Lytechinus pictus: one gene and its partners. The protein of the gene in region 4 purifies or fractionates together with the protein of the main gene of each other region. This does not show direct contact. Links are inferred from orthologs where the notes say so. Each region holds a gene or a part of one and is shown on either strand. Other genes may lie near its edges.

Region 1 (7,349 bases), on a different chromosome or scaffold from region 4:
TGCGAACGCGTAGCGCGAGCAGAATTTTTTTGACATCCCGACCCAAAACCTGATATTCTAAAGCACTTTTTGTAACCATGAACATGCAAGATGGGTATACCCATATCTATCTAAACAATTGATGTAAGCGCGAAGCGCGAGCTGAAATATTTTGGTAATCTGACCTAAAATCTAGACATTCTTAGCTCTTTTGGTAATCATGAACAGAATGGCTATCGAACTAAACATTGTATGCGAGCGTGAAGCGCGAGGTGAAAATTTTGGATATTCCGACCCAAACCTGAGGATTCTAAAGCACTTTTTGTGACCATGAACGCGATGGGTATCTTTCTAAACAATTGATGCGAGCGCGAAGCGCGAGCAAAAAAAAAGATATCCGGACCCCAAAGCTCAGATTCTATGCACTTTTTGAAACGATGAACAGGATTTTTGTTTTGTAATAATATTTATTAATCATTCAGTTCAAAGTAATGGTACATTGTAAAATATTACAAATCAATATTAACAAAACACTGTTCACAAAAGACAAATAATTATCCATAATACAAATAATCGTTCATGTCATGGTATTAACATATATGATATACAGTGGATAAATTCAGTAACAAAAATCAACAATTAATAACCAATATAAATTCACAAAATCATACAATAGCTATGCAGAAAATTGATTGCTCGACATTGATTAAACTGAATGAAATTTATAATATAAAAAAAACCGGAAAGGGTTCGAGAGCTCACTCCCCACACACGTCCATAAAATAACGAAATCGCTCTCACACCCAACCCCCCCCCACACACACACACAGACAAGACACAAAACAATTAGACAATACAAACAAAAACAATACAAAAAATAAGAAAAGCAGGAAGAAGGAAAGAAAGAAAGAAAGAGAGAGAGAGAGAGAGAGAAAAAGAAAAAAAAAGAGAAAGAAAGAAAGGAGATAAGTGACATGCAAAGTAAAGAAAAGCGGACAGTTTATAGTGACAGACAGACCAGCCAACCCCGCACGTGTGCAAACCGGATAAAGCCATCCCTTCCTCATCCTACTTAATTAATTGCTTTTTAGGTGTTCCCACTTTTTATAGTGCTGTGTTAATGTTTTTCGCTCTATAGCAATTTTCTTTTCTTCTTCTTTACTTTTAAAAAGCTTTACTTTTATCTCTTCAGCAGTTGGTAGTTTATGATTCCCCCTTCCGTGATATATTAAAAATTTGATAAGTAAAATGATATGATTTAATAATTGTCTATTTTCTGTCGTCTCTTCTAATCCAACATGGATATCCTTCCACTGTAAGCTTTTAAGAATCGGAAATTTTAATATATTGCTACACAATTTCCATAATACTTTAACCATTTCACATTCGTAAAAAAATATGTCTATAAGTTTCTTCATCTTTACCGCAAAAAGAACATTCATTACTCGATACAAATCGAAACCTATATAAATGGTGGTTAACAAAGATAATATTGTATAATAATTTATATTGAAACTCTCTTAACTTATTATCTAATGTGCAAAATCTTGGACGATAAAATACTTTTTCAATTTCTTTTTCAGACATGTTATATGACGATTCGAGATTGTAAAAACTGACAGGAGTGTCGGCAATCTTGTTTATACATGATCTATACAGCTGTTTTGAACAAACTGACTCAAACTGGAAAACATTTTTAAAGAAAATAAATTCAATCTTCAAACCATCAACTAAGGTATTATTTTTTAATTCGACTTTCCATTCTACAGGAACATGTGCAAATATTTCATTAATTGTTACTATTTCGTCGTCATTTACACCCATAGATCTAAAATAAGTATTTGATTTAAGTTCACCGTGTTCATCTACAATATGGTGCAATTTGTATGTGTTTTTTAAGAAAATATTTTCATGAAAATACGCTTTTCCTTCATTTTTAATATACCTGTTATTGAAAAAAATTTCATTTCTTTTATTACTTATGTCCTTTTTGATGAACACAGTTATATCAAACCAAATACTTAACATTTCCTGGTAGTACTTTGGAATTTTTATATTGATCATATCAGGTGTAAAATTACAGTAAAAAATTAAATTACCACCTAATGGTCTTAGCAGAAATTTGAAATATTTTTTCCATTTCACTTTCTGGTCACCGTTTACCAGTCTTTTGACCCACATCACTCTCTGTACCATTACAAAAAGTTTAAAATTGAGCATTTTTATTCCCCCTTGTTTATATCCCAGATACAATGTGTTTCTTTTAATTTTATCTTTTCCTCGCCATAAAAAGTCGAAACAAATTTCTTCAATTTCTTTAAAAGCCCATTCCGGCATAGGCGTTAAAGAACTTACATAAATCAATTTAGAAAATGCATATGTTTTTAGCAGATGAATCTTTCCAAACAAAGTTAGATCTCTTTGTTTCCACCAATTTAATAACTTTTTAATTTTGCTTAATATTTCTTTATAATTCATTTCTTCAGCAACGTCAGGATTTAATGAAAAGACAATACCTAGAATTTTAACCATATCAACTTGTTTCCCAAAAGGGAAAGGGTGAGTAAGGCTTACAGAGGGTCCTAGAGGCAAAATAAACGTTTTATTTTTGTTCATCCTAAGTCCAGATGTCTTCCTAAAATTTTCAAGAATTAATTCTAGTCTATATACTGAATCTAAATCTTCTACGAATATAGTCATATCATCAGCATAAAGTATTTGTTTAACTTCCGTTTCACCAAATCGAATACCCTTTACTAAATTATCATTACGAATACAATGCGTTAAACATTCTATACAAAGTATAAAAAGGTAAGGGGAGAGGGGATCCCCTTGTCTTAGCCCCCTCTCGATTGCAAAATAACCGGTCGATTTCCCCCCATTAAAGACACAACTCAGCGAGTTGGTATAAAGAACATTAACCCAGTTACTAAAAATCGGCCCAAAACCAAACGATTTAAGCACCCTTTGAAGGAAGGAATGTGAAATTGAGTCAAACGCCTTTTCAAAATCGATTGCAACTAAGTATCCTGGTTTATTAAAATTTGATGTATGAAAAATCATATCGTTTATTATTCTTACAGCATCGCCAATATTCCTATTAGTTAAGTAACCTACTTGGTCGCCTGACACAATATTATCCAAAATGGTCTTAATTCTTTTAGAAAGTATTTTGGTTAGGATTTTATAATCTACATTAAGCAAGGAAATTGGTCTATAATTGCTAATAAACATCGGATCTTTACCTTCCTTATGTATAATTGTAATTATTGCTTGTTTTTGTGAAGGTGACAATTCTTTATATTTCATAGCATCATTAAAAGCATTTAAGACTAGGTCACCTATTACCTGCCAAAATGTAATATAAAACTCGACATTTAAACCGTCATTTCCTGGTGATTTATTTAATTGCATTTCTTTTAAAATTTCAATACAATCCCCCTGGTTTATTTTCACTTCGCAATGATTTCTTTGGTTTTCGCTTAGTTTTGGTAAGTTACTAGGAAAAAAACAGTCACCAGGTTCTACCTCTCCTTTAGAATATAAGGAAGAATAAAATTCTTTTATTTCTTTTAAAATACTAGTTTCGTCATTAATTACATTTCCATTAACTTTAAGTTCTTTAATAAAACCTTTCCGACCATTATAATCTACCAGTTGTTTAAAATATGCAGTTTCTCGTTCTCCACTTTCAAACCATGGGGCTCGAGATCTGATTTTAATACCTTCATTTAAGTACGCATATATTGTTTTTAGCTCACTTCTTTTTCTTGCCAAAAGATCAATCAAAATATAATTTGTGTTCGATGATGTTTGCTGTAATTGAACTTTCTCTTCCAATTTCATAATTTCCTTTTCTAACTTATCAACCTTCTCTTTTCTTTCTTTAGCTTTTTTCTTAGAATATTTTCTTGTGAAATTTCGAATTTCCATTTTAACATAATCCCACAGTATTCTATTATCCATAATCTCTTCAGACAGCTGAAGTTTTAGACGAGTTATTTCCTCTTTCAGGATGGTCACGATGCGATCATCGATGCGATCGATGAGCGAGATGCTGACTTGAAACGGTAACACTTGAATTACTGCATTATTGCATTATGAAGGGTAATAAATAAATCCCGTCCGCCCGCGGAAGCATGGGTGTATACCGCCAAGATGTTCTAATTATAATTTACCGTTAGCATGGCCCTGGGAAGCGGGGGCGCTGGGATGAAGCACCCCAAAATTTTCTTTGGGAGTGCTGCTGGGGCAGCAACCCAGGAATTATGTTAGGTGTTAAAACTAATGGAGAAAGGTTACGATAATTACCTACACTCATGTAGTGAAAACCTTTTTTTTAAACATATTTTTTCTTTTTTGCTTGTCAAATTACGTACATCAGCACCCCCAGTAAAAAAAATCGTTCTATAGCACAGGGCCCTGAATATTAGAGATTAGTATGCTGTGCAAACCCTTCACTCAAGTTAAGGGTCTGAATGTGCAGCTAACTGATGCATTGTGCACTGAAGGCCCTCTCACTCGGGAATTGAAACAGCAAGTTAGTCTTTGCGTGGAAAACTTGTGGATGTGTTGAAGGTCTAGTCCACCCCAACAAAATGCTGAAAATTTTATCAAAATCGGATGTCAAATAAGAAAGTTATGACATTTCAAAGTTTCGCTTATTTTTAAAAAAATAGTTATATGAACGAGCCAGTTACATCCAAATTAGAGAGTCGATGATGTCACTCACTCACTATTTCTTTTGTTTTTTATTGTTTGAATTATACAATATTTCAATTTTTACGAATTTGACGATTAGGACCTCCTTGTCTGAACCACAAAATGTTAGAATAATGGAATTCCACGTATTCAGGGAGGAATGAAACTTCATTTCACATGACAATGACGAGAAAATCAAAATATTTAATAATTCATATAATAAAATACAAAAGAAATAGTGAGTGAGTGATGTCATCAGTTCCCTCATTTGCATACCGACCGGGATGTGCATATAACTATTTTGTGATATTAAGCGAAATGTTAACACGTCATAACTTTCTCATTTTCCATCCGATTTTGATAAATTTTCAATGTTTTGCTTGTTGGATTTTTCTCTTTTTATTCGAATCAAGGCAAGGTCTGACGTGACATGCCTGCAGAGTCTAGACTAGTACGACCCTGGAGGCTGGATATATAGACCAATCACATCACGTTGTTTACAAGCTCGGAGAAGATCGAAAAATGGCGGGGACAGCTACTAAAACTAAAAACACAATTACCTTGAAAGGATCAAGTGAAATTGTTGCAGAATTCTTCTGTGAGTATCTTTCCAACTCAAGCGATATTATTCCTTAGATGACGGTAAATTCCCAGTTGAAGCGATGAATTTAAAGAAGTTTAGTTCAGTGGAGCGCTCGAGGGAGAGTTACGCGCATGGAGTTAGTTCAGTCCCATTCGTTGTGAATTGTGCCATGTTCAAAATCTTATGATGCTGATTGCATAAATTTAATTTATTGTCGACCTGTCAATTTCCTTGATATTGTAATTGAGTTTTTGCTACAGATGTAACTTTTAGAGTACTAGACTGTAATGTGGCATTCTTAATTTGACCCCCCCTCGAATTTTCCGCTATGCCGCAGCGCAAATTTTTTTGAACGCGTCGCCGTCGCTCGCTGACTTTACTTTCAAATTCAAGTCTTGCTCATCTTTTGAGACCGATTTTGCCTCGCCCAAGTACCGTATGGGCACTAGTATTCAACCCGGCATAATTCAAAGATTTTGACAAATTCCCCCAAATATTTAGAAATAGGTCTGATTAGGGAATTCATCTTAATTTCAGAATCATACCTTTGAGTTGACTATTTCCAGGGTAATCTGTTGTCGGTATTTTCTTTAAAGTTATCAATCTGTCGACTGTATGCGTGAAGGATCGAATTATGCGGCGATGACCTTTTGCACTGAATTGCACTAGTATTCAACCTAGTGATGATAGATAGCGAATCTCAAAATGGTTTAGATTGCTAAACTAGATCTATGTAAGTCTCTGGCGCTGGCTTTGATTAATTACCTGTTTATGTTTGGTCTCGTCTCAAATGATCTAGTCCATTGTCGGATGGGACAAGGTCAAGGGCAGATTGAGAGACAGGGCCATCTTTCATCGCTAGGTTGAATACTAGTGCCAAAAACCATCGTTGTATAATTCGATTGCCCGCACACATAGTTGATGGGTTGAAGGAAAAAATAACGGAAAAAGAATAACCAGTATGCAGTATTTGCTCTTTAGTCTTGGAAATAAGATGGGTCTGAAATTCAGGTTAATTCTATATTTCTATATATTTGAGGAAACTCTCCAAACGGGTTCAATACTAGTGCCCTTACGGTACCCGTTTCCGAAATTACGCGATATTTTGTAAGTGCATGGCGGTCCAAAAATTGCTCAAAAACGTGATTAAGTCAATGCAAATTGTGTTTTTCAACCAAAAATCATCATCATAAATGATTATTTTTACTTTTGTTGGTGTCTAACGTTAGACCTAGATCAGTAGATGGATTTATTTTATGATATTTATGAATGCAAAAGGGTCCCAGACAGAGTTCATAAAAAAAAACAATAAAAAACAAAGGTTTGAAAAAACAAATAAATACATAAGAATAAAAAAAAACGGCCTTATCGTGAAATTTGTCACCTCTCTTGTCGTGTGTGTCGGTGTGTGTGCGATCGTTGTGTACAAAGTCAATGGGAGTGGAAAGATGTCACCACCGCTGACGAAATAAAAGGCAATGAATGGACTGGTGACATAAACCACGATAATGCCAAAAAAACAATAAGAAATTAAGATAGATCTACATAGACTATAGGAAATTAATTATTTTTCAGCAATTTTTTTGTAGATTTTTGTTAGAAATGTAAAAATCTATATGTTCACCAAAAATTTGCATTCTACTAGCTATATAAATTGAGTTATTAAAGGCAAAAACATACACAAAAACCAAAATTAGGGCAAATTTCATACGCTTATTTGCTTAATTAATAAAAAATATAAGCAATTAATTTTTTGAAAATTTTACTTTATAATCTTGCAGTTTACATCCGGCTCTATGTGCGTGCAAATTTTCACAGCAATCACGCAATCAACAGCCGAGATCTGAGTGGGGGGGGGGGGTGAAATTCCCCCCCCCCCCCCCAGTATATGTTGGTCTGAAATGGCCCAGTTAAAATGGGTTTAGTAATTGTGTTTTCTTTCTCTAGATTATGGCATCAATAACTTGTTGTACCAGCGTGGCATCTATCCAGCAGAGACATTTGCAAGATGCGACATGTATAAGTTACCCCTTCTGACGACCACAGATGAACACCTCAAAGCTTACCTGTCAACGGTCATGGATCA
Region 2 (6,997 bases), on a different chromosome or scaffold from region 4:
TCATCATGCAACTGAGGTATGTTTATACTCTAAACACTCACATTTGTATTTCTTGAATTACATCTGATAAATAAAATAAATAAATTAGATTTCTCACAGGCAGCCTCTCATATTTTCCTTTTAAGTCTCATACAATCAGACACTGTTGATTTTATTTACTCCATTCAAACCCTATTTTTACCTCAACAGATAACATATTAACGCATAATTTGCAAAATCATCATTATATACATGCATATGTATTCTAGAAAAAATCAGTATATTGAACTAATAAAATGTTGAAATTACTTAGTTAAATCAATTTTTATGTCGGACAAGGGTCTCTTTCGTTGAAATATCAATGAAAGGTGTCTCTAAAAGGACACCGTGTTCTTAATAAGGGAAATAATGAAAATTTCGATTTTATCCAGGGGCGGTATTCTGAAAATCGTGTTAATTTTCGTGTTAAATATCGTGTTATCTCTCTGATTTAACACGCCCCTAACATACCCCCAAATCGGTATTCTGAAAAGCGTGTTATCTGCATGTTATCTCATTTCGTGTTATCTTCAGCTCCTCCCACTCTGCATCTATTTAATCCAATCAAATGCGCTGTTAAAGAAACAAATCGCGCAAAATTTTCAGGGAAAAGGGGAATTGCGCGCTCGGTGACACGAAACCTGCATTGTGACATCATTTTGTAAGCGCATACAGCTAAATAAAAGTTAGGGCTGGAAATAGACACAGGGAGGGGTGATTGTGACAATTAAGAATTTAATTGAATTGAAATATTGAATTGAATAACTATATTGTCCATAGAGGAAATTCTTCTTTCACTGGTTTACACACATATGTAGATACAACGTGTATACACAGAACAGAACACAGAATGGAGTCAGACGGCGTGGATACAAAATTATGACAGGAGACAGATGCCTCGGTCGATTGGGGAGCAGGCAGGGGACGATCGCCCCTAAAATATGAGGGCAAGCATAATTCATGAAAAAATATATTTGAAATGTAAATTTTGAAAAGCATGAATAGCACTTAAGAAAAATTAAATCTGACATAGAAATATCAAACATACAAAATTGTAATTTTTTTTCTTTATTAAAATATTGGATGCGTATAGCGATCGATCAGCCAAAAAAAAAAATCACTTTTGCCCGCCCCCCCCCCTGATCCGAAGCATATAGATTGACTGGTGGGATAGATGAATTAAGGATAACCTAGAAGCATTGAGAGTTAAAAAGGTGTAATTATTGGAACTATATAACCATTGAAAAAGGGTAAAAAAATTGTGAATATTATAGAAGAGTTCCCAAATCGCCAATTCCATTCTTTTTAATTTCTGTTTGTGTTTTTTAGACGTTTTAAAGTTTCTTCCTCTCCATCCGTCTTTTTTTATAATATTGCAAAAAGTAACCAAATAAATAACTTATGAGCATTTATGATAAATATTTCAATTAATCAAAATCAAAGATGCATTTGAAGTGTATTTTCACAGGATATTCCAAAGAAAATGTTGTTTTATCATTGTTAGTAGAGAGATAGGTAGATGGAAAATAAAGCTGGAAAATGAAAGAAAAGTACAGTAAATTCTGCCAGACGATATACATATGCTCGTATATGTTCTTTTTGACGTTTGCGTCTGCTAGAAAAAGTGCAGCCATCGTCATCCACAACTTAACCTCTCCTTAATGCAGTGTTAAATGTTCGTGTTATCTTTGAACAAAATTTTAGCTAACACCAATATCGTGTTTTCTTCCTCCCTAACACCGCGTATGGGGGTTGCGCGTTGGGCCACGTGTTTTTCATGCTAACACGATTTTCAGAATACCAATCGTGTTAGCTAACACCGTTTTTGTGCTAACACGGTTTTCAGAATACCGCCCCAGTTGTTTGTGAATCTTGATTTTTTTTCCTCTTTTTACCTCATAAAGTACGCTCCATAAATTCTACAATCAGTAATAAATAAAACATTATTTGATCCCATTTTACTGAAATATATGATTTTATGAAAAGTCGTCATTCCGAAATAAAAGGTTCAGGTGACGATGAAGACTAAATATTTTTCCGATACTATATCGATATCAAACGATGTCGCGGACTTGAAAGACAAAATTGCCTTCGTGAAACGGAAAGCGCTGATTTGTCGCCAATCTTCCTATCTCGGAAGAATGGTCCTAGGACTTTCCTACGTATTGCTCATCTCGTCATGCAACAGGCCCCATGTCTGTAGAAGTATATGTCAAAATATTACAAAATATCAGACATGGAGTCCTCAAGGCTCAAGTCAGAGGCAAAGCCAAAGGTAGTAAACATTCGACCCCCTCTAAATTTCACATTTATTTTTTATGAATTTTTCAAAAGTGCCATTTTAACGCACAAGTCTAAAGACTATGGGGAATGTTTTACGCGCGTACGCGTGACACCCACAGGGATTGGACGAAGTACGCCCTCTCTAGCGTTATTAGCTAGGCCCTATATCTCTTGACTTGTAGGATGGGGGATCGGGTGTCCGGACACTTTATATTTTTGAAGCCTTCTTTTTTGTCTTAAGATTACACTAAAAATATGAATTCAATAGTTGTAATCATCTTCTATTTTGTTCTCTATAATATTTTCTAAAATTTTGTACTAAAATTTGATGAAACTTCGCTTGTAATTTTTTCCAAATGACTTTCTAAAATTGATCATCCGGACACACAACCTGTCCGGACACACAACAACTGGGTATATGATATGCAGACACATCACAAAAAATCATGAATGGGACTGAGGATGCTTCCTAGAATCCTACTACACTACCGGTACGTCTATGTAGTAGACGGAGACCGGAGTGTGCAGTACTTCAGAAACTTCATGCCTTACCAAAATAGACAAATTTCCAAAGAGTCCTTCCTTTCGCAGGAGGCGAATGTGATCCATCAACCAGACACCCATTCTGACGGTTTTTTCTTCCTACTTGCTGTGCTTAACTTGTTAACAAGTGTAAAATTCACACTCCCAAATTCAAGGTAGGCACTTATGAACCAAGTTTGAAAGGAGACTCGTAAAATTACGTCACTCTCGCCGATGAATATTCATTAGATCGTGGTCGTGCGTGTTCAATACACACTGAGTACAGCTGGCATGCAGAAAGTTATATGCGAGGAACTTTGGCTCTGGACAGAGACAAGTTGTCAAATAACGTGTGTGTGTGTGTACCATCGGCTGGTAGTATTCCATGCTGTTCTACAAACCGCGTCGGAGAGAGTGCATGGCAATTCGGTAAAACGAAGTTTCCGATATAAAGAGATAATAACACTATGTACAGTACGTTGAGAGGCAAATGTCAGATCAGGGGAGGCAGGAGTACAATGTTTTTTTTTTAGGGAAGAATAATGTAGAATAAAAGGTATTATATATAGCCAATTGATCTAGGTGAGGGATTAAGCTTATAGCGAACAATGATGTTTAAAAAAGAGAATGAATATACCTTACCTGAATATTATAATGGTGAAGCCAATTTAAAAGGAGGTGAGGCAAGTTTCAATGGAGGTTTTTAAAAAGAATAAACTGTACTACAAATTTAAAAGGAGGCGAGGCAAGTTTCAATGGAAGCTTTTAAAAAGAATAAACTGTATTATGGTGAAGCCATGCAATTTAAAAGGAGGTGAGGCAAGTTTCAATGGAGGTTTTTAAAAAGAATAAACTGTACTACAAATTATGGTGAAGCCAATTTAAAAGGAGGTGAGGCAAGTTTCAATGGAGGCTTTTAAAAAGCATAAACTGTACTACAAATTTAAAAGGAGGCGAGGCAAGTTTCAATGGAGGTTTTTTAAAAGAATAAACAGTATTATGGTGAAGCCAATTTAAAAGGAGGTGAGGCAAGTTTCTATGGAGGCTTTTAAAAAGCATAAACTGTACTACAAATTTAAAAGGAGGAGAGGCAAGTTTCAATGGAGGTTTTTATAAACTGTACTACAAATTATGGTGAAGCCAATTTAAAAGGAGGTGAGGCAAGTTTCAATGGAGGTTTTTTTTAAAGAATAAACTGTATTATGGTGAAGCCAATTTAAAAGGAGGCGAGGCAAGTTTCAATGGAGGTTTTTAAAGAGAATAAACTGTACTACAAATTTAAATGGAGGTGAGGCAAGTTTCAATGGAGGTTTTTAAAAAGAATAAACTGTACTACAAATTATGGTGAAGCGAATTTAAAAGGAGGTGAGGCAAGTTTCAATGGAGGTTTTTAAAAAGAATAAACTGTACTACAAATTATGGTGAAGCCAATTTAAAAGGAGGTGAGGCAAGTTTCAATGGAGGTTTTTTTTAAAGAATAAACTGTATTATGGTGAAGCCAATTTAAAAGGAGGCGAGGCAAGTTTCAATGGAGGTTTTTAAAGAGAATAAACTGTACTACAAATTTAAATGGAGGTGAGGCAAGTTTCAATGGAGGTTTTTAAAAAGAATAAACTGTACTACAAATTATGGTGAAGCGAATTTAAAAGGAGGTGAGGCAAGTTTCAATGGAGGTTTTTAAAAAGAATAAACTGTACTACAAATTATGGTGAAGCGAATTTAAAAGGAGGTGAGGCAAGTTTCAATTGAGGTTTTTTAAAAGAATAAACTGTACTACAAATTTAAAAGGAGGTGAAACAAGTTTCAATGGAGGTTTTTAAAAAGAATAGACTGCATTATATGGTGAAGCGAATTTAAAAGGAGGTGAGGCAAGTTTCAATGGAGGTTTTTTTAAAAGAATAAACCCTACTACAAATTTAAAAGGAGGCGAGGCAAGTTTCAATGCAGGTTTTTAAAAAGAATAAACTGTATTATGGTGAAGCCAATTTAAAAGGAGGTGAGGCAAGTTTCAATGGAGGTTTTTAAAGAGAATAAACTGTACTACAAAATTTAAATGGAGGTGAGGCAAGTTTCAATGGAGGTTTTTAAAAAGAATAAACTGTACTACAAATTATGGTGAAGCGAATTTAAAAGGAGGTGAGGCAAGTTTCAATGGAGGTTTTTAAAAAGAATAAACTGTACTACAAATTATGGTGAAGCGAATTTAAAAGGAGGTGAGGCAAGTTTCAATGGAGGTTTTTTAAAAGAATAAACTGTACTACAAATTTAAAAGGAGGTGAAACAAGTTTCAATGGAGGTTTTTAAAAAGAATAGACTGCATTATGGTGAAGCGAATTTAAAAGGAGGTGAGGCAAGTTTCAATGGAGGTTTTTTTTAAGAATAAACTGTACTACAAATTATGGTGAAGCGAATTTAAAAGGAGGTGAGGCAAGTTTCAATGGAGGTTTTTTTAAAGAATAAACCCTACTACAAATTTAAAAGGAGGCGAGGCAAGTTTCAATGGAGGTTTTTAAAAAGAATAAACTGTACTACAAATTATGGTGAAGCCAACTTGAGAGGTGAGGCAAGTGTAAAATGATGTTTTAACAAATAATGGATATTATGTAGAAGCAAACTTGAAAGGAGGTGAGGCAAGTGTACAATGATGTTTTAACGAAAAGGGTATTGTAAAGCCAACTTGAGAGGAGGTGAGGCAAGTGTAAAATGATGTTTTAACAAAGAATGAATATTATGGTAAAGCCAACTTGAGAGGAGGTGAGGCAAGTCTACAATGATTTTTTTTTAAAGAATGATAAGTGTAGAATATAATTCAAATGATGAAGCCAACTTGAGAGGAGGTGCATGAGGCAAGTCTACAATGAGGTTTCTAAAAACAATGAATAGTGAAGAAATAGATTGCAATTGCTTGTAATAATCCACAAAATTGTGTAGTTACTTATTTCATGCAAATTGATATTAATTGATTATGCTCATTTGTGCATAATTAGTATACTATACCAATTCCTCTAACTCCCCAAATAAAGCTCCAAATGGTCTAATTTTTGGTTTAGAAACTCTTTGTGGTGTTTTTTTTAATAATTCTTGGGTTTTGTACTTTTGTATTGCATTGTTTTTTTTTTCAACGAACTTTGCTGGGACTCTCGTAACAGCATAAAATAAATCAGTTTAGTTCAACAAAACTAAAAACAATTAGGCATTTATGAATTTTGGTTGAAAACGCATATTCCATTGACGTGGTATACACAAATATCACAATTTTGAGTCATTTTTGTCTGATATGTACCTTCAAATTGTTTGGTAATTTTCAGAACCCAGTACCCGGGCTTCGCAAAACATGCAAAAGACTTTTTTTTTAAATCACAGAGCTCAGAGCCCCCCCCCCCCCCCCCCCCTGCGTAATTAGGTTAAGTATGCATTAATTTTGAACATTTCTATTCCCCAAATATGTAATATCCCCTCCCCAAAAATGCAATTATCACTGAAATGGAATATACATAATATATTTTTTGATAAGCCAGGTTATGCAAAATAATCATCACGTCGTCATCCTTTGTCAACAAGAAATCTGAACATGTCCTCTGGAAAAAAAATAATACCTCGGCCGCCTATTAAATTCTAAGTTTTCATTTTGTAAGTATTTTACTTAGCAATTTGGCTGGCTTAACAAAATGCTTAAACTTGATGCAGATCAGATCTCAGAATTTACCTTATCCAAATTGAAGTAAATACTAATACCCATTGTGATGTTATAAATTTTGAGCCAAATAGTGCCAAATATGTGAATGTATTTCTGTGCGTATCATTTTTGTATATGTAGACTTAAGACTAGTAGATGGCTGACTTACATTTAAGCAAAATATTTAGCCAAAAAAAAATGCAATTGAATACCAAAGATGGATAAGTACTTTACTTTTGCAAAATACTGAGTAAAATATACTTAGAATTGTGGTTTTAAGAGTAGCATTGAATACCGGCCATGTTCCTCATCATCATTATCATCCCACTACCACACCAGTTTCTGCAGCACAAACTTTAACTTTCATAGGTTGAGTCCATTTCAAAGCCAACACTGTCACTTTAACTTTCTTTTTTCTCTTATAACATGACGTCCACACACTGCCAATCACATCATTACAACACCAACTGTCAGAGGACAACAGAACTGCAGTTACCA
Region 3 (7,080 bases), on a different chromosome or scaffold from region 4:
GCGAATTATTACGTGTGAGGAACTTCGTGTTGGCTCTAAATCATCAATTTTGAGACTGATAGAAGCATGGAAAAGAAGTGAAACTTTGTGTAAAGTAAGAATATTAGTTGTACTTGTTTTTAAAGATCGTGATGTTGCTTAAATTTTGTATTTTCTCCCCATAAAATCCCACCTTTTGTCACTCGGAATATCCGATCGAGTTCATGGTCTCGAAGTTCGGGTAGGTGGAGCGTAGTGTAGCGGTAGTGAAGTGGAGTGGAGCCTGCACGAACTTCGCTCGAGGTATAGGACCCCCTACCATACATGTAGTACCGGGGTATAGCAGTGTATCCCCGGGGGGGGGGGGGCATTACATTGGCGAGTGGATACCATGCGCGACCAAAAAAACACGTAAAAAGGATGTCTTTTTCAAGATAAGGCACGTTACGCACGTAACGTGTTAAACTTAAGGGTGTCAAAAACACAAAAATAATGAAAAAAGGGTATCTATTTCGCTAGGAAAGCTACGTGTTTAGGGTCAAATTTGCGGGGATGATAAAACAAACTTAAAATGTTTTATAAAGGATATCCTTTTTGCCCCAACACTACGTGTTTAGAGTCCAATTTGCGCGAGGTGTGGAAGGTGGGGCCATACTAAACCAAATGGTGTGTAAAGGTAAAACCGACGACCGACGGACCCGTGACATAACAATAAAATATCGCTGTACTCGTTAAGGGGCTCATTTCAGGGAGTAGAGTATCGTTTTGTTTCCAATACTTGTTAAGGGTAGGGTTTCAGACGCCATTACTTGTTAAGGGGTGCATTTTCAGAATATGGAAAATATGTGTTTAGGGTGCTTTTCGAGACCCCATGGTCGCGCATGGTATCCACTCATCAATGGAAGTGGCCCCCCCGGGAGTGTATCCTATACCTCGGGCGATGTTCGTGCAGGCTCCACTTCACTACTGCTACACTACGCTCCACCTACCCGAACATCGGGACCGTGAACCATTTCGGATATACCGAGTTACAAAGGTGGGATGGCAATCATGATAATCGTAAAAATTAAACAAAAAAAAATAAAACAAAAAAGATGATTGACTTTAATAATATCTTACTGTACACCCGTATTTCACTCCGTTTCCATCCTCCGGTGATCCTCAAAATTGGTGATTTTTGGCCAGTATCTTTTTCCTCACACGTATTATTCACGGCCGATTTAAAAACATTGCATGCGATCGCGATCGGTTTGACCTGCGACAGATCGCGATCGCATGCAATGTTTTGAAATCGGCCGTGAATAATACATGTACGTGTGAAAAAAAAAATACTTGCCCAAAATCACCAATTTTGAGGATAACCGGAGGATGGAAACGGAATGAAATACGGGTGTAGAGTAAGATATTAAGTCAATCATCTTTTTCGTTATATTTTTTTGTTTAATTTTTACGATTATCATGATTGCCATCCCACCTTTGTGACTCGGTATATCCGAAATGGTTCAAGGTCCCGATGTTTGGGTAGGTGGAGCGGAGTGTAGCGGTAGTGAAGTGGAGTGGAGCCTGCACGAACATCGCCCGAGGTATGTATCCTATAGTATTGCCGGACACCTTTATTTAAGTGCTTTAAAAATGACATCTAGAGGAAACACAATCAAGAAAAATTCGCACTTGCTATTATGAAAATTATGAATATGATATTACAATTATTGTATATAATATTTACCAACCGTTTTCTTCGCATCGGCATCGCACTTGTCGCATAATAGTTACTACCCCTCCACGAAAAAAAAAAATGTTTTTGAGCGTGACAAATTACATCATGATTATGGACGGGTAAAGATAATGATGTAAGAAAGAATTTGTGTGATTTTTTCTTCATATATCATATCATGAGTAAATTCTAAGTTTACTTTTTGATTGCTTCTTTTTAATATCGAATCTGAGCTGAGCAGATGTTAAATTTGTGTTTGCTATTAAACCACATTTTTTTTTCAATTCAATTTATTCAAATTCCATTCAATAAAAATACAAGATACAACAAAACAATTAAGCATACATAAATATAAAATGAAATTTGGGAGACTGCAAAAGACCAAAAGGTCTTGACGAGGCAGACCCCGAGTGCCATCATGGCAATACATATATTGGCATAGGTTAAAATGATGACATGAACAGGATGAAAAAAATATAAATACGAATGTCCTAACCCCCCCCTCCCCCATCGGGAACTGGAAGCCAGTGTAACAATATATAAATTATCAAAATACACTTTAAGAAGATTTATGAGTCATATGATGATATAATGTGTTTTTTTAGCTTACGTTTAAAAGAATAAAGCGAAGAACATTTTTTAATTTCACAAGGCAGCGAGTGCCAAACATCAGGTCCTCTATGTCTAATGGATTTATAAGCAAGTACTGTTTTGGGATTACTAAGATGAAAATTGTTAGAACCTCTGGTATTGTGTTCATGAACCTGGGTATTGCGTATAAACATTGAATTAAAATTGCTTGGAACCAAGTGATTAGTATAATTGAACATAAAATTTGCAGTTTGTAAGATATTGATATCAGATATTTTTAATATGTTCAGTTTTTTTCTTGTGTGGAGAAATCTTTGAAAACTGAGGTGAGACAGTCCCTGTAAACTTGGACTACATGTACATTATCCTCATTTTCTGACCAGCATCTTGATACTAAAAATATAATTACTTCACTTTACTGTAATTATTATCAGTAACAGTCATAATTTGGATAGAAAAATATGAGATGCAAGCACCCACACTCGTAAAGCTTTGTTTTTAAACTAATACACACAATGCTGCGCCTCTTTGTTTAGTGGATGCCTTGAATCAATCGTTTGTCAAAGCCTGACTTTAAAGGGGAAAAAAGAAAATGCTACTAATGTTAGATTGTGTGGCACAGATAAATCTACAACAGTAGTGATTCTGGAAAATCTGTCAAGATTCAGATTGGACATAAAACAAAGTAATCTTTTTCCTTTGGTCTACATTTTTGGGCAAAAATCGGGCCTTGTATTTTTTCACCACTCTCCTTGCGTACAGTACAGTGTGTGTGCACTTATTTGTTTGACAAAGTCATTGGGAGTGGAAAGATACATACATATATGTATCACCAACCAACGTTCTCGCCAGGTTCATTCTGACGCTTGGCGACGCGAAGCGACGAAGCCGCGCAGTGGCCTCGGTGCGTGCGAAGCACGCACGGGGGGAGGGTTGCGGGAGGGGGGTGTCCCTGACACCAACAGTCCAACACTGACAAACAAAGGCAGTGAATGGACTGGTACCATAGAACTTAATTTCTGTGATCTGCATGTAATACCTAAATATGTTAATATCCCCAGCCGCCATTAGAGCGAAGTCTCCAGTTACAGACCTACAGTAGTGAAACTAAGTAATAGATTCTACATTGTAGTTTGAAAATGTAAATGAGGAGAAAATAATAATATTCCATATAGTTACTTGAAATGTAAAATACAATTAAATGAAATAGTGAGTTTGTGACATCTGTTCCCTCATCCACATACGGCTAGGATGTGCGTACATGTATAACTGTTCTGTGAATTCCGGTGCCAGAGATATTTAAAAATGTCATAACTTTCTCAATTGACATCTGATGTTGATGACTTGAAGCCAGGCATATTTTGTAACACAGAACAAAAACAGAGTCAGGGAATTACCAAATTGGTTGCCACAGTTTGTTAATCACTTCCCTGTTAGGCACTGCAATGATGCCATCGACCTTGTATTACTTGACGTACATGTACATGCAATTTAGCAAAATTTGAAACCGACAAAAATCCACCGGTGTTTAGGCTACAATCTTCCAAGCACGCTGGTGATGTGATTCAATCGCAATGCAAGGCAATTGATTGCATAGTTTCAATTATTTCACATACCGTAATAATCGTACCAGTATCACGGTTATTACTGTCTAGAAAATATTTCATTAAAATAATGTAACTATTGTACTCTGCACAAACTGTGTAGTGTACATGTACATGTAGCTACTGTAGTGCATTAGCGGCTGACAATGATTGGATCTATTTTTTTTTTTACAAATGATATTCTTTTATCCTGTGTGTATAGCAGATTGTTGCTGTTGCATTGTCTGAGGAGACATTGCCAAGATGAGCGGGAACACACGGGATAACACCACTGGCAACCTGACCAGTCTGGCCAGCTTTCACAGTATGACAGGCAAGTTAAAGTTTATTATGTGGCACTCAATGTATACCAAAGGTTCAATATTATTATCAGCAGCGGCCCAGTAGCACAGGGACATGATGGAAGCACTTCACGAAACAAGTGCTCATTGATTTTAACTGAATATTTCAGTCTGAGCCAATCAGATGCAATGATTTCATCAGCTTACAACAAATAGTTTGTGAAAATATTTGACTATTTATTACATGAAATGCCCTCAGGAAACTGAAAATAGATGTCAGGCCACCATTGATTAAAAAAGGGGCATGTTTTGAACTCAGAACTTTATAAAACAATATCTTTTGTTAGCACAATCAGACTTTCAAAAATTCATAGATACATTGGTTCTCTCTGTATTTTGCAATGATGATCATCCAGAAAATAAAGATAAAAACTTACTTGCCTTGTGATAAACGCACCTGGGTCCCATTGCAGAAAGATTTTAGTTTAAACGCAAGTAAAAAAATGTTCCAAATGCACGATTATAAATGGATGAAAATCAAGTTGCATATGATTTTTAGAGTTGCGTTTGATTGAAAATCTTTCTGCAATGGGCACCAGGGCTCCGTAACACAAAGGTCTGCGATGAATTTCCAATATGAAAGAACCACGCTGATTGTTCCCAGTCAGTATTTTAAACAGAGTGCGCATGCAACGATTATCTTGATTGGTAATTTGTATTTAGCGATTGATTGAAAAACTTTGTGTTACATAGCCCAGATGATATTGTATTGATCCATATAAAAAATGAATGTTCTCTTTCATTCACAGACCACACAGAATGGATGTCAGAGCTTGATAGGCATGGTAACAAACCCAATGAATGGCTCGCTTACCTCTCCCTGGTAGAATCACACACCTTACATGCAGAGGAGACCAGTCGCTACAGGTTCCTGAGTCTCGCCTACAACCGTGCCACTAAGCAGATCCCCATCGACAAGTACCGCGACGACCCGGCCTACGCCAGGATCTTCATCAAGCTTGCTCACCTCAAAGCGTAAGCATCAGTTGTTCTGACATTCTGGGGCCCCGTAACACAAAGGTTAGCGATCAATCGCTGATTTGAAAGATCAGTTCTGATTGGTTCTTCGTCGGCCTACTGAGCAAAATGCACATGCAACGATGATCATGATAGGCCATTTCATTTAGCGATTAATCACTAACCTCTGTGTTACAGGGCTCTGTACGTGTATATTCACTCACGCAGAGATGCCAAGTTCAAAGACCAGCTACATGTATGCATCAGACTTTCATGTTGCTCGGCATGTGGTCACAGGCATTATGTATGTGTATGAGGATAGACTCTGATACAGGCGTGAGAAGAAGATTTTAGAGGATGAACAAGAGTCCCAAAGGTGGGATTCTCTTGCCTAAAATGTGAGACTATGTCTGCTCACAGGTTATGTTCACCTCAACAGGTCGATGGGAATAATACATACAGAGAAAATCAAGCAGGCATATCTGAAATTTCAACCAAATGGGATATAAAATGTGAAATTTATGTTTATTCTGAAGTTTCACTTAATATTGCATATGATATGTACATGTAAACGAGGCATAAATCCTAAATATTGTTTCTTTCCTAGTACCCGTGATGTGGATGACGGACGCTTGATGTTCAAGTTTGCCCGGGCCAATGTCAGAAAGCAAGCCATTGTTCATCTGGAGGCTGCAAAGTTTGAAGAAACCCATGGTAAATAATATAGTATATGAGAATGGCCGAAGTCCATGATAGTTCATTTCTAGTAAATCAATCAAAATGAAACTATTTTTATGTTAGTCCAGTGAGGATTTGGTTGTATAAATTACACACCGAATGGGCTTGTGTTTAGGCAAAAACAAATTTTGTATGAGCTTTCTGTATTTAACTCCATTTACCCTATAGATGGACTTGGTTAATTGTTATTTTTCGTAATAAATACTCAATTATAAAATAATACATGAATGTTAAGTGTGAGATGCATTGGAAATTCAGTTATTAATAATTATGAAATGAGTATGAAAGTGTTCAATGTGTTATGAAATGCAAGCTTGCACGTATGAATCGTGAAATGCATGACTTGGCAATGGCCCACGATCTGAAAAATCAGTGCTGCACGCACACCTTGTTAAAAAGACCATCCTTGAATCAGTCAGAATCATTGTTTCCTATCAAAACATTCCATCTAAACCTTTTACGAGACCCAGATGTTGTTCAAGAATTAGAAGTTGCACATGTCTTTTGTTATTTGTTTTCATGCACAACACAACATTTTAAAAATGACTGATCAATATTAAATACTGTACTTCATGTTTCTGTCCCCTCAGGTGATGTTAAGAAATGTCTGAGTATCCTGGAGAAGGGTCTGAAAGTGACCTCTGACCCGAAGCTGACCGAGGCCATTCACCGGGTCAAGAACGGACTTCCCATTCTCATTGATTCACAAGAAGCTATGGACTCCCATGATGGTCAGTTATATTTTGTCATATCGACTGCAATTGAGTTCTATATCATTTGTATATCGTGGTGGTGGTGCAGGAATATCCCTTAGCATCACACTTCCGCGTACCCTATCAGTGCAGAAACGCCCTTGCGCAATGCCTTTATGGGCGCAACTAAGGGAGTTTTCGCTGCGCGAAAATATGGTGCTAAGGGCGTTCCTGCAACAACACAACAATATAATACATGTATGTGCTGTTGAGTCATTTCTGATGACCTCATGGACAAACTTTTCCCATGCTGCTTCATCCTGAGCTAGCATGCCGCTTCTCTCAAAGATTTGCCTTACATACATGTTTTTGCATTTTAATGCATGCGATAGAGTACATCTTATGATCAATATATAAATGTAATCAGCAATATTAATACAAATCATTGCTGAAACTTATTACTT
Region 4 (7,621 bases):
TGCTTGTACTAACATGACTAATAAGACATGAAAATCAAACATTCCGAGCAATTTTGTTATGAAAAAGATGTGCATCTAATTGAAGAATGGACGCGAGCGCGATATTCCAACCAGAAAACTGGACATTCTAAGCACTTTTTTAACCCAAGAACTTAATTGTGTGTCTTAATAAATAATAATTGATGCGAAGCGCGGCGAGCCGAAAATTTGTAATATTTCAACCTGAAAACTGGATATTCTAAGCAGTTTGAAACCAAGAACATAATGTGTACCTTTGATGCGAGCGGAAAGCGCGAGCTGAAGATTTGTGACATTTAAACCTGAAAATTGAACATTATAAGCACAAGTTGTAACCAAAACAAAGTGAGTGCCTTCCTAAAAAATAAATGATGTGGGCGCGAAGCGCGAGCCAAAAATTTTGTGATTTCCAACCTAAAATGTATCGTTTGACTTCAAAAAGGGTATTTTATTTTGAAAAGGGACATTCATGTACATCATTTTGAAATAAGTGCACTCTCCATTTAAAAAAGGCATTTTTTCCTACTGGGATTTTTTTATGTATAGGGGGTTAAGTGCCCCTGCCGCCCCCCGGTTCCGCCGCCCCTGCTGCTAATATAGCCTCGGGTTATAATTTTTATCTAAGTTCAAACTGGTATTAACAAAAATATGTTGGTATGACTGCATTTTATAACGATGGTTTTCTTTAAAATATATATTTTTTACCATTTCGATCCATCACATTTTTGCATTTTTTTGTCCGTCGATATGCCCAGCGCTGAGAGGTCATGCCAAAACGTGATTTTGCATGAAGTACATTCTCTGAACCATCATCGGAACTTCGGAATCACACAGAGATGGAAGACCCCTTCCCCCAAATAGTTCCGCCTAGCTGTATGTCCTCGAATATATATATATATATTTAATAAGACATCAGAAATGCGAAACACAAATTCACGAGTAATGCAGTTTTTGCAATAAAATTTGCAATTTTATTATATATATATCACCATGATAAGTACGTAATTTTATTATCCGAGCACATGCAGCCGACCGAGGAGGAGTGGGTGGAGGGAGAGGCACCTAGGAGACGTCATACTTGTTCTTGTTCAGTATACTACCATAACAAGTTGAAAAGAAAAATGCAAAGAGAAACTTGGAGGGGGATCGATGTTACATGGTTATAACATACAGACCTACGCACCGGTATCATAGGCGGATCCAGGAGGCCGACGTTACGCCCCCCCCCCCCCCCCCGATATTGGCGGCGCAAAGTAATATGAACGAAAGCAGAGGGGGGGGGGGGGTGACAAAATATAAGAGGAAGAATGAATAAAAAAAGGTGAGGGGAATTCAGACTTGGGGAGGGGTGGGAGCCAATCATGTCACTACACAAGTATAAAAACAATTTAGCCCGCGCTTTGTGTTCGCATTGCCTGTTCGATGGAACATATATTCATCTATACCAATTCATTTATTGATTTATTCATTCAGTCATGGTTAAACAGGTTCACAAGTTCAGAGTTATTAGTATATAAAATCATAGTAACAAGTACAATGACAAGGTATAATTCATATCGAAATAGTATGAGACATAAAGAAATATTAACTGATCAATGTAATACAAAACACGGAAACATTGTTGAAGGGCTTATAGTAAAACGAACAAGGGAACTAAATAGGCCTTTACTTATTCAAATTTTTGAGCACCTTATCCGTCAGTGTGCATCTTAATTGTTTAATGATCATATTGCTCAGATCAATTTTCAGGACACAATATACACAGTCCGAAAATAATACCTCACGCTCGCATTTTTTATAGGGTTTAGTACTGTTACGACTATAGATTCCAACAAAAACTAGCTTTGAGCTGCCGATCGATCGGGAAAAATGTGGATGAAAATATTGTTCACCCCGGCCCCGTTATTAGTGAAAGCTGGATCCGCCCCAGAATATATTGTTTAAAAAAAAAGGCATAGGCCACGCGGTATTTGTCATTTTTTTGTGATAAATACATTGAGGCAGTATATTGACAAATAATCACTGGAAGAGAAAGAGCATCTTATAGGCCTATATAACGCACAAAGCAAAATAATGAAGAATGGCGGCAAAGCTAGTTCAATACAAAATGATTTCCTTTTCCTTTAAAAAAAAATGTTACAACACGTTATAATAATGAACAAATCAAAATACAGAACCTGAAGAAATTGATAACGATTCAGTGAATCGGAATCGAAACAAAAATGCGTATGTAAATATAATTATAAAATAGAAATAAAAAACGGGGAAAAAAATAAGAATAGCCCTTTCACAAGCAACCATAATTCTCCCTCCCTTCATACCCTGGACAAGTAAAGAAAAAAAAATACAGCTAGAGAAACGAAGCAAAGATGAAAAGCAAGGAAAGGGAAGGAAGCCGTCTCTCGGTACCTGGTACTCTGCCCAGATATCAAGATGTACGTCTAGGACCTATTCTCCGCGATTTGAAAAACAACGTGCATAACATCACAATTATTATGATGGTCATTTAAAAAAGTTCCTTGGTTGTTTCCAAGTTATTTAAATTGCCGTCGAGGGACTGCGCGAATGCACACGCTCCTACAGGATATGAATGAAAAAGTCGCAAACAGACTCCGCCGTTCAATCCGATACTGTACTGTATAGCCGGTATACAGATCGGCACGTGAGACAAGCGCAGAGGCGATGGATATGAATATTCATGAGCAGGTATTGATGTCATTTGGTCTCAAGGTGGCGCTCTTCATTTTTTATATCAATTTCAAAATCTGCATCAAAAGAAAGCTCACTTGGCAAAATTTCTCTTCTTTATATATTTTTTTGAGAATAAAAACAGTTCTTTTGGCCAATGCAATACATTTTATGGACTCAGAACTTGTTTATGAGTATTTTGAAAAGCGAAGAGTGAAATCTAAAAGAAAGTTTTGAAATAAACCAATGTCACAATTTACCTTTAAGGTCACACCACCATAAAGGGTCTGAAAGCCTAGACTAGTCGAAGTATCGGCTTATGGTCGCTAGAAAACCCCTTCCGCTATCAGCGCTTCTCCCTAGCATAGCGGGAAGAATCTTGACTGCAGTTGCAACGACTTGAGTTAAGAAACACTAAAAATAAAAAGATAGATCTAACGTGAGAGAAACAGGAAGTGAATGAACCGGAAGTCTCGACAACCTTTTGTTATTTTGGGTGGCTGTCGCAAGAACTCTTTCCGAAATTGGTATTCTGAATAATTTGATTCTGAGAAGCATACAGTAGCATGGGAGGTCCAGTGTCCGGACACTTTAAAATTTTGCCTTCTTTTTTGTCTTGACTTTGGATTGCACAAAAAATATGAATTCAGTAGTCTAGATCTAACTTTTTAGTGGTAAGATGGTGGTCCTTAAGTCTGCGCATCTAATAATGAGTGAAGATATATGAATTTCTTTTTCTTTCACAAAATCTTTCAGTTAATAATGTTTGTTATATTATGAGTAAGTGTACCAAATATCTCATAAGAATTTGAAAGAAATATAGGATTTTCTTGGAAAAACCTCGGGCAGTCATTTTCAGATTGAAAAAAAAACGGTACCCCATGTCTGAACACCCATTCACTTTACACACGATTCAGGGATTTGATGAGAAAGGGTGCAAATGGTAGATACATGTAATCTATTTTACATGCATACACAGACAATATTCACTGCAGTGTCATTGCAAATTATAGGCATTTTTTAATGTTTTGTTATATCTCATGTTATGTAAAAAGAAATATAAAGAACAAACAAATCAGGATTAAACAGAACAATATTTTTCATCAAAAACTCAATTTACTCACTGGTTAGAGGTGAGAAGAGAACTTAGAGAAGGATAATAAGATGGGATCCTGATTATCAGGAATAAAGTTGCCTTGTGACAGGCCATCACAGACCGCAATAAAAAATTCCAAAAAAGTGGAATAAGCACAATGATGCAAATGAAAAGGAAAAGATTGCAGAAAATACAGATTTTGAATGATTAAAATCATATTCAGAGATGATGCAGCTTTTAAAATTCTGGACAAAATATCAAATGCCTTTGCATTATCTTTTAAATTGTTTGTCAATTAATAGATGTAAAAATTTATAAAGATATGGGAAATTTTGCTGTCCTTTAATGTTTTAATAGTGGCATTAATTTGGTCAATGTCATCAATAACTAATTTTACAATGTACATGTAATCTACCTTGAAAAGTGGGGTAGGTGACTAGGCGTATGTTTGCACTTTGAACAAATTGCCCTCCACTTCCACAAAGATGCCATGATATGAATTACAATGAATATAGGCCATTTATGCACTTTGGCAGTGCTTATTTATAAATTCATGTATTACATTCATGCTGTCTTGAAGGGGGGGGGGATGGGTGATTGTACAGGCCATCCTTCCCTCTCTGAAAAGGTAAGGGGATCTCCCCCTTCCCCTGGCATATACGGGAGCGAATGGTCACTGCAACTTATTGGTTGCATACATTCATTATGCGCGGTGCAGTGCAAGTCAGTGACTCTCGCATGCAGCACATCTTAATTTCACAATTTTCATGTCCTATTCACGTTTCTTTCCTTTTTCAGGCGGCCATCTGGCAGTGCTTAAACCATTATGCCTACGAAGATGCTACCTTTCTGGCAGAGAGACTTTATGCTGAAGGTATGTGTGTTGAAATACAGTTTGTCAAGATGTAAGGGCAGTTTAGCCCCTGAAATGTACAAAAAAAAAATTGAAAAAGACTCAGTAAGTTGCAAAATGGCCCAGGTAAATTATCGGTTATCGGTGTGTACCTATTTCATTGATTTTTGTCTCTCCTGCATAGCAGAGCGAGACTATAGGCGCCGCTTTTCCGACGGCAGCGTCGTCAACATTGAAATCTTAACCAAGGTTAAGTTTTTGAAATTTCATCATAACTTAGAATTATATGGACCTAGTTCATGAAACTTGGACATAAGGGTAATCAAGTACTGAACATCCTGCTTGAGTTTCAGGTCACATGACCAAAGTCAAAGGTCATTCAGGGTCAATGTACTTGGACCATGTTGGAGGAATCAATATCAAAATCTTAACCAAGGTTAAGTTTTTGAAATGTCGTGTGTATCACTGAAGATCCTGCCTGAGTTTCAGGTCACATGACCAAAGTCAAAGGTCACTTAGGGTCAACAAACTTTGACCATGTTGGGGGTATTTGTGGAATTGTCATAACTTTTAAATTTTATGGATCTATTTCATGAAACTTAGACGTAAGAGCAATTATTAAGTATCCCTGAACATCCTGTGTGAGTTTAAGGTCACATGGCCAAGGTCAAAGGTCATTTAATAGGGTCAACAAAATTTTTATAATGTTGGGGGTACTTGTGGAATTGTCATCATAACTTTAAAAGTTTATAGATCTAGTTCATGAAACTTGGACATAAGAGTGTCCATGTATCCCTGAATATCCTGTGCGTGTTTCAGGTCACATGACCAAGATCAAAGGTCATTTATGGTCAATGAACTTTGGCCGTGTTTGGGGTATTTGTTGAATTGGCATCATAACTTAGAAAGTTTATGGATCTACACAAGTAGTTCATGAAACATAGACATACATGTAAGGGTAATCAAATATGAATGATTATTTTGCACACGTCTCAGGTCACATATCGTGGTCAAAGGTCATATTGGGTAAATGGACATACATGTAGTATTTTATTACACTGTTAAAAATGATTTAAACAACGCTGTTTACTATGTGAATGGCACAGTAGTTGTTTAAACATTTTAAACAAGTGTTTAAAATCTTCAACAACAAAGTTTAAATTCAAATTTAATTATTGAAAATTCAAGCATGGTTGTTTAAGATTTTAAACACTTGTTTAAACTGCTTAAACAACTACTGTGCGATTCACATAGTAAACAGCGCTGTTTAACTTATTTTTACCAGTGTATAATATGAGTGTTTTCTTTTGTGAATAATTATTCAGTAGCTGTTTTTAAAGTGAGCACAGCTGCTAATTCGAATCACGTAATACAGGCGGAAGAAATGGATATTTCTGAAGTGTAACATGTAGACCCATTTTTTCCCCCCTGACCATATATCACATGTTCTTTGTTTTAGTTGGGTCAGATGAGGGTCTATTCCTTCTTGCCACCTGTTATTACCGGTCAGGCCAGCCAATGAGTGCCTATACCTTGCTACAGACCAAAGGCTGTCCGACTCCAGCTTGCAGATTCCTTATGGCCAGGTGCTGCCTGGATTTAGAGAAGTGAGTATTAAGTATGACATTTAGGTACTATAGTTAGAAAAGATTTATGCGAGAGTAAGAAGAATTCAGAAATTCACACATTATTAGTGGTTGTCAGATTACCTATTTTTTATATATCATTATTGTCGATCACCAGTGTAGTACACTATATACCAAGTCAATTTTTGCATAATGAGGATTTGTGTGTTTCATTTTGATTTATTTGCTCATTCATGTTGTTATTCCACATAATTTTCTACAACTTAAGTCATTCGTTTTGATTCATTCCTGAACATGCCTTTTTTTATGGTCAATCATATTGTCTGTAACTATGCACAACACAGAAGTACATATTTTACCAATTGTGGAAACGTAAATAAGATTATAATATGCATGTAATACTTCATTGTAATATAGGCAATTATTTTTACCTTGTTCTATTATTATCATTATTAATTTTTTTTTTCTTTAATTTTTTTAAGGCTATCAGACTGTGAAACAGCATTATCAGGATCACCAATAATGAAGCCCAATACGTGTGATGATGTCGTATCATTATTTAAAGAATCAGCACCCTATGCACTCTCAGTACTAGGAAAATTATGCAGGTAATATGTGGCCCCTGGTAGCACAATGCTTAGCAAGGGTTTTACCCCCCGGTAGTGCTGATTTTCACAATTTATTGCATTGATCATTATGTGCAATCATCAAGTGTATGATTAATTACTAAGCTTTGTGTTATGGGCTTCTGGGTTCCAACCCAGCTTCCAATGCCAAACTTGAAACCACCTGTTGTGGTAATTGTACCAGTGATATGCTGAAAAGTCACTGATAACAAGTTACCATTTTCATCGGGTCCCAGTATATTTTCACAGCTTTGTTTGATTATTGAGTGTGAAATGGAAAGTGATTAATACATGCATGCCTTTTGTTTGAAACCTACCTACCTTTCAATAAAAACAATAATGAAATGAATTATTAACGACAGTTTTATTCATTTAAACCATATTAGAATTTACAGTGGTAATTTCTGATGGAATATTCCCTTATAAAATAATAATATTGTATGAATATTTTTATTACAATTATAGTGCATGTATTTTTAGAGTATCATATTCAGCGAACAAGAAGGTCAATTAGGATGTGTTGAATGTTGATTTTTCAAAACGCAGAACTTTATCATGATCATCGGTGCACCATACACAGTCAAAAATTTAAAGCTGATTTATGTTGATTATCTAAATTCCCCTGTTCCATCAGCGCAGCGTACGGCGCAGTTTGACTTGTCACAAGTTAGGTCAATTCTGGCGCACACTTTTCAAAATAATGTGTAAGCTTTCACTGTAAGAGCCCATTTAAAAAGACGTTTGAAAACTCAAT

Evidence for each region.
Region 1: the proteins of cell division cycle protein 27 homolog (region 4) and mitotic spindle assembly checkpoint protein MAD2A-like purify together in Homo sapiens (affinity purification with western blotting; 29 studies listed by BioGRID and IntAct, with this or other methods). This does not show direct contact. The link is inferred for Lytechinus pictus from reciprocal best matches to the Homo sapiens genes CDC27 and MAD2L1.
Region 2: the proteins of cell division cycle protein 27 homolog (region 4) and anaphase-promoting complex subunit 7-like purify together in Homo sapiens (affinity purification with western blotting; 23 studies listed by BioGRID and IntAct, with this or other methods). This does not show direct contact. The link is inferred for Lytechinus pictus from reciprocal best matches to the Homo sapiens genes CDC27 and ANAPC7.
Region 3: the proteins of cell division cycle protein 27 homolog (region 4) and dual specificity protein kinase TTK-like purify together in Homo sapiens (affinity purification with western blotting; 3 studies listed by BioGRID). This does not show direct contact. The link is inferred for Lytechinus pictus from reciprocal best matches to the Homo sapiens genes CDC27 and TTK.

Annotation. Positions count from the first base shown.
Region 1 is NC_087262.1:14,784,660-14,792,008, reverse strand, and holds the start of mitotic spindle assembly checkpoint protein MAD2A-like, read left to right. Parts: upstream 1-4,340; 5' UTR 4,341-4,702; intron 4,703-4,939; 5' UTR 4,940-5,202; coding exon 5,203-5,278; intron 5,279-7,210; coding exon 7,211-7,349. UniProt on the Homo sapiens protein: Component of the spindle-assembly checkpoint that prevents the onset of anaphase until all chromosomes are properly aligned at the metaphase plate.
Region 2 is NC_087246.1:28,910,634-28,917,630, reverse strand, and holds the start of anaphase-promoting complex subunit 7-like, read right to left. Parts: upstream 3,029-6,997; 5' UTR 2,926-3,028; coding exon 2,854-2,925; intron 1-2,853. UniProt on the Homo sapiens protein: Component of the anaphase promoting complex/cyclosome (APC/C), a cell cycle-regulated E3 ubiquitin ligase that controls progression through mitosis and the G1 phase of the cell cycle.
Region 3 is NC_087248.1:13,113,398-13,120,477, forward strand, and holds the start of dual specificity protein kinase TTK-like, read left to right. Parts: upstream 1-4,059; 5' UTR 4,060-4,131; coding exon 4,132-4,201; intron 4,202-4,978; coding exon 4,979-5,204; intron 5,205-5,793; coding exon 5,794-5,900; intron 5,901-6,514; coding exon 6,515-6,655; intron 6,656-7,080.
Region 4 is NC_087245.1:15,602,444-15,610,064, reverse strand, and holds the start of cell division cycle protein 27 homolog, read left to right. Parts: upstream 1-4,600; 5' UTR 4,601-4,676; intron 4,677-6,114; 5' UTR 6,115-6,173; coding exon 6,174-6,262; intron 6,263-6,723; coding exon 6,724-6,849; intron 6,850-7,621. UniProt on the Homo sapiens protein: Component of the anaphase promoting complex/cyclosome (APC/C), a cell cycle-regulated E3 ubiquitin ligase that controls progression through mitosis and the G1 phase of the cell cycle.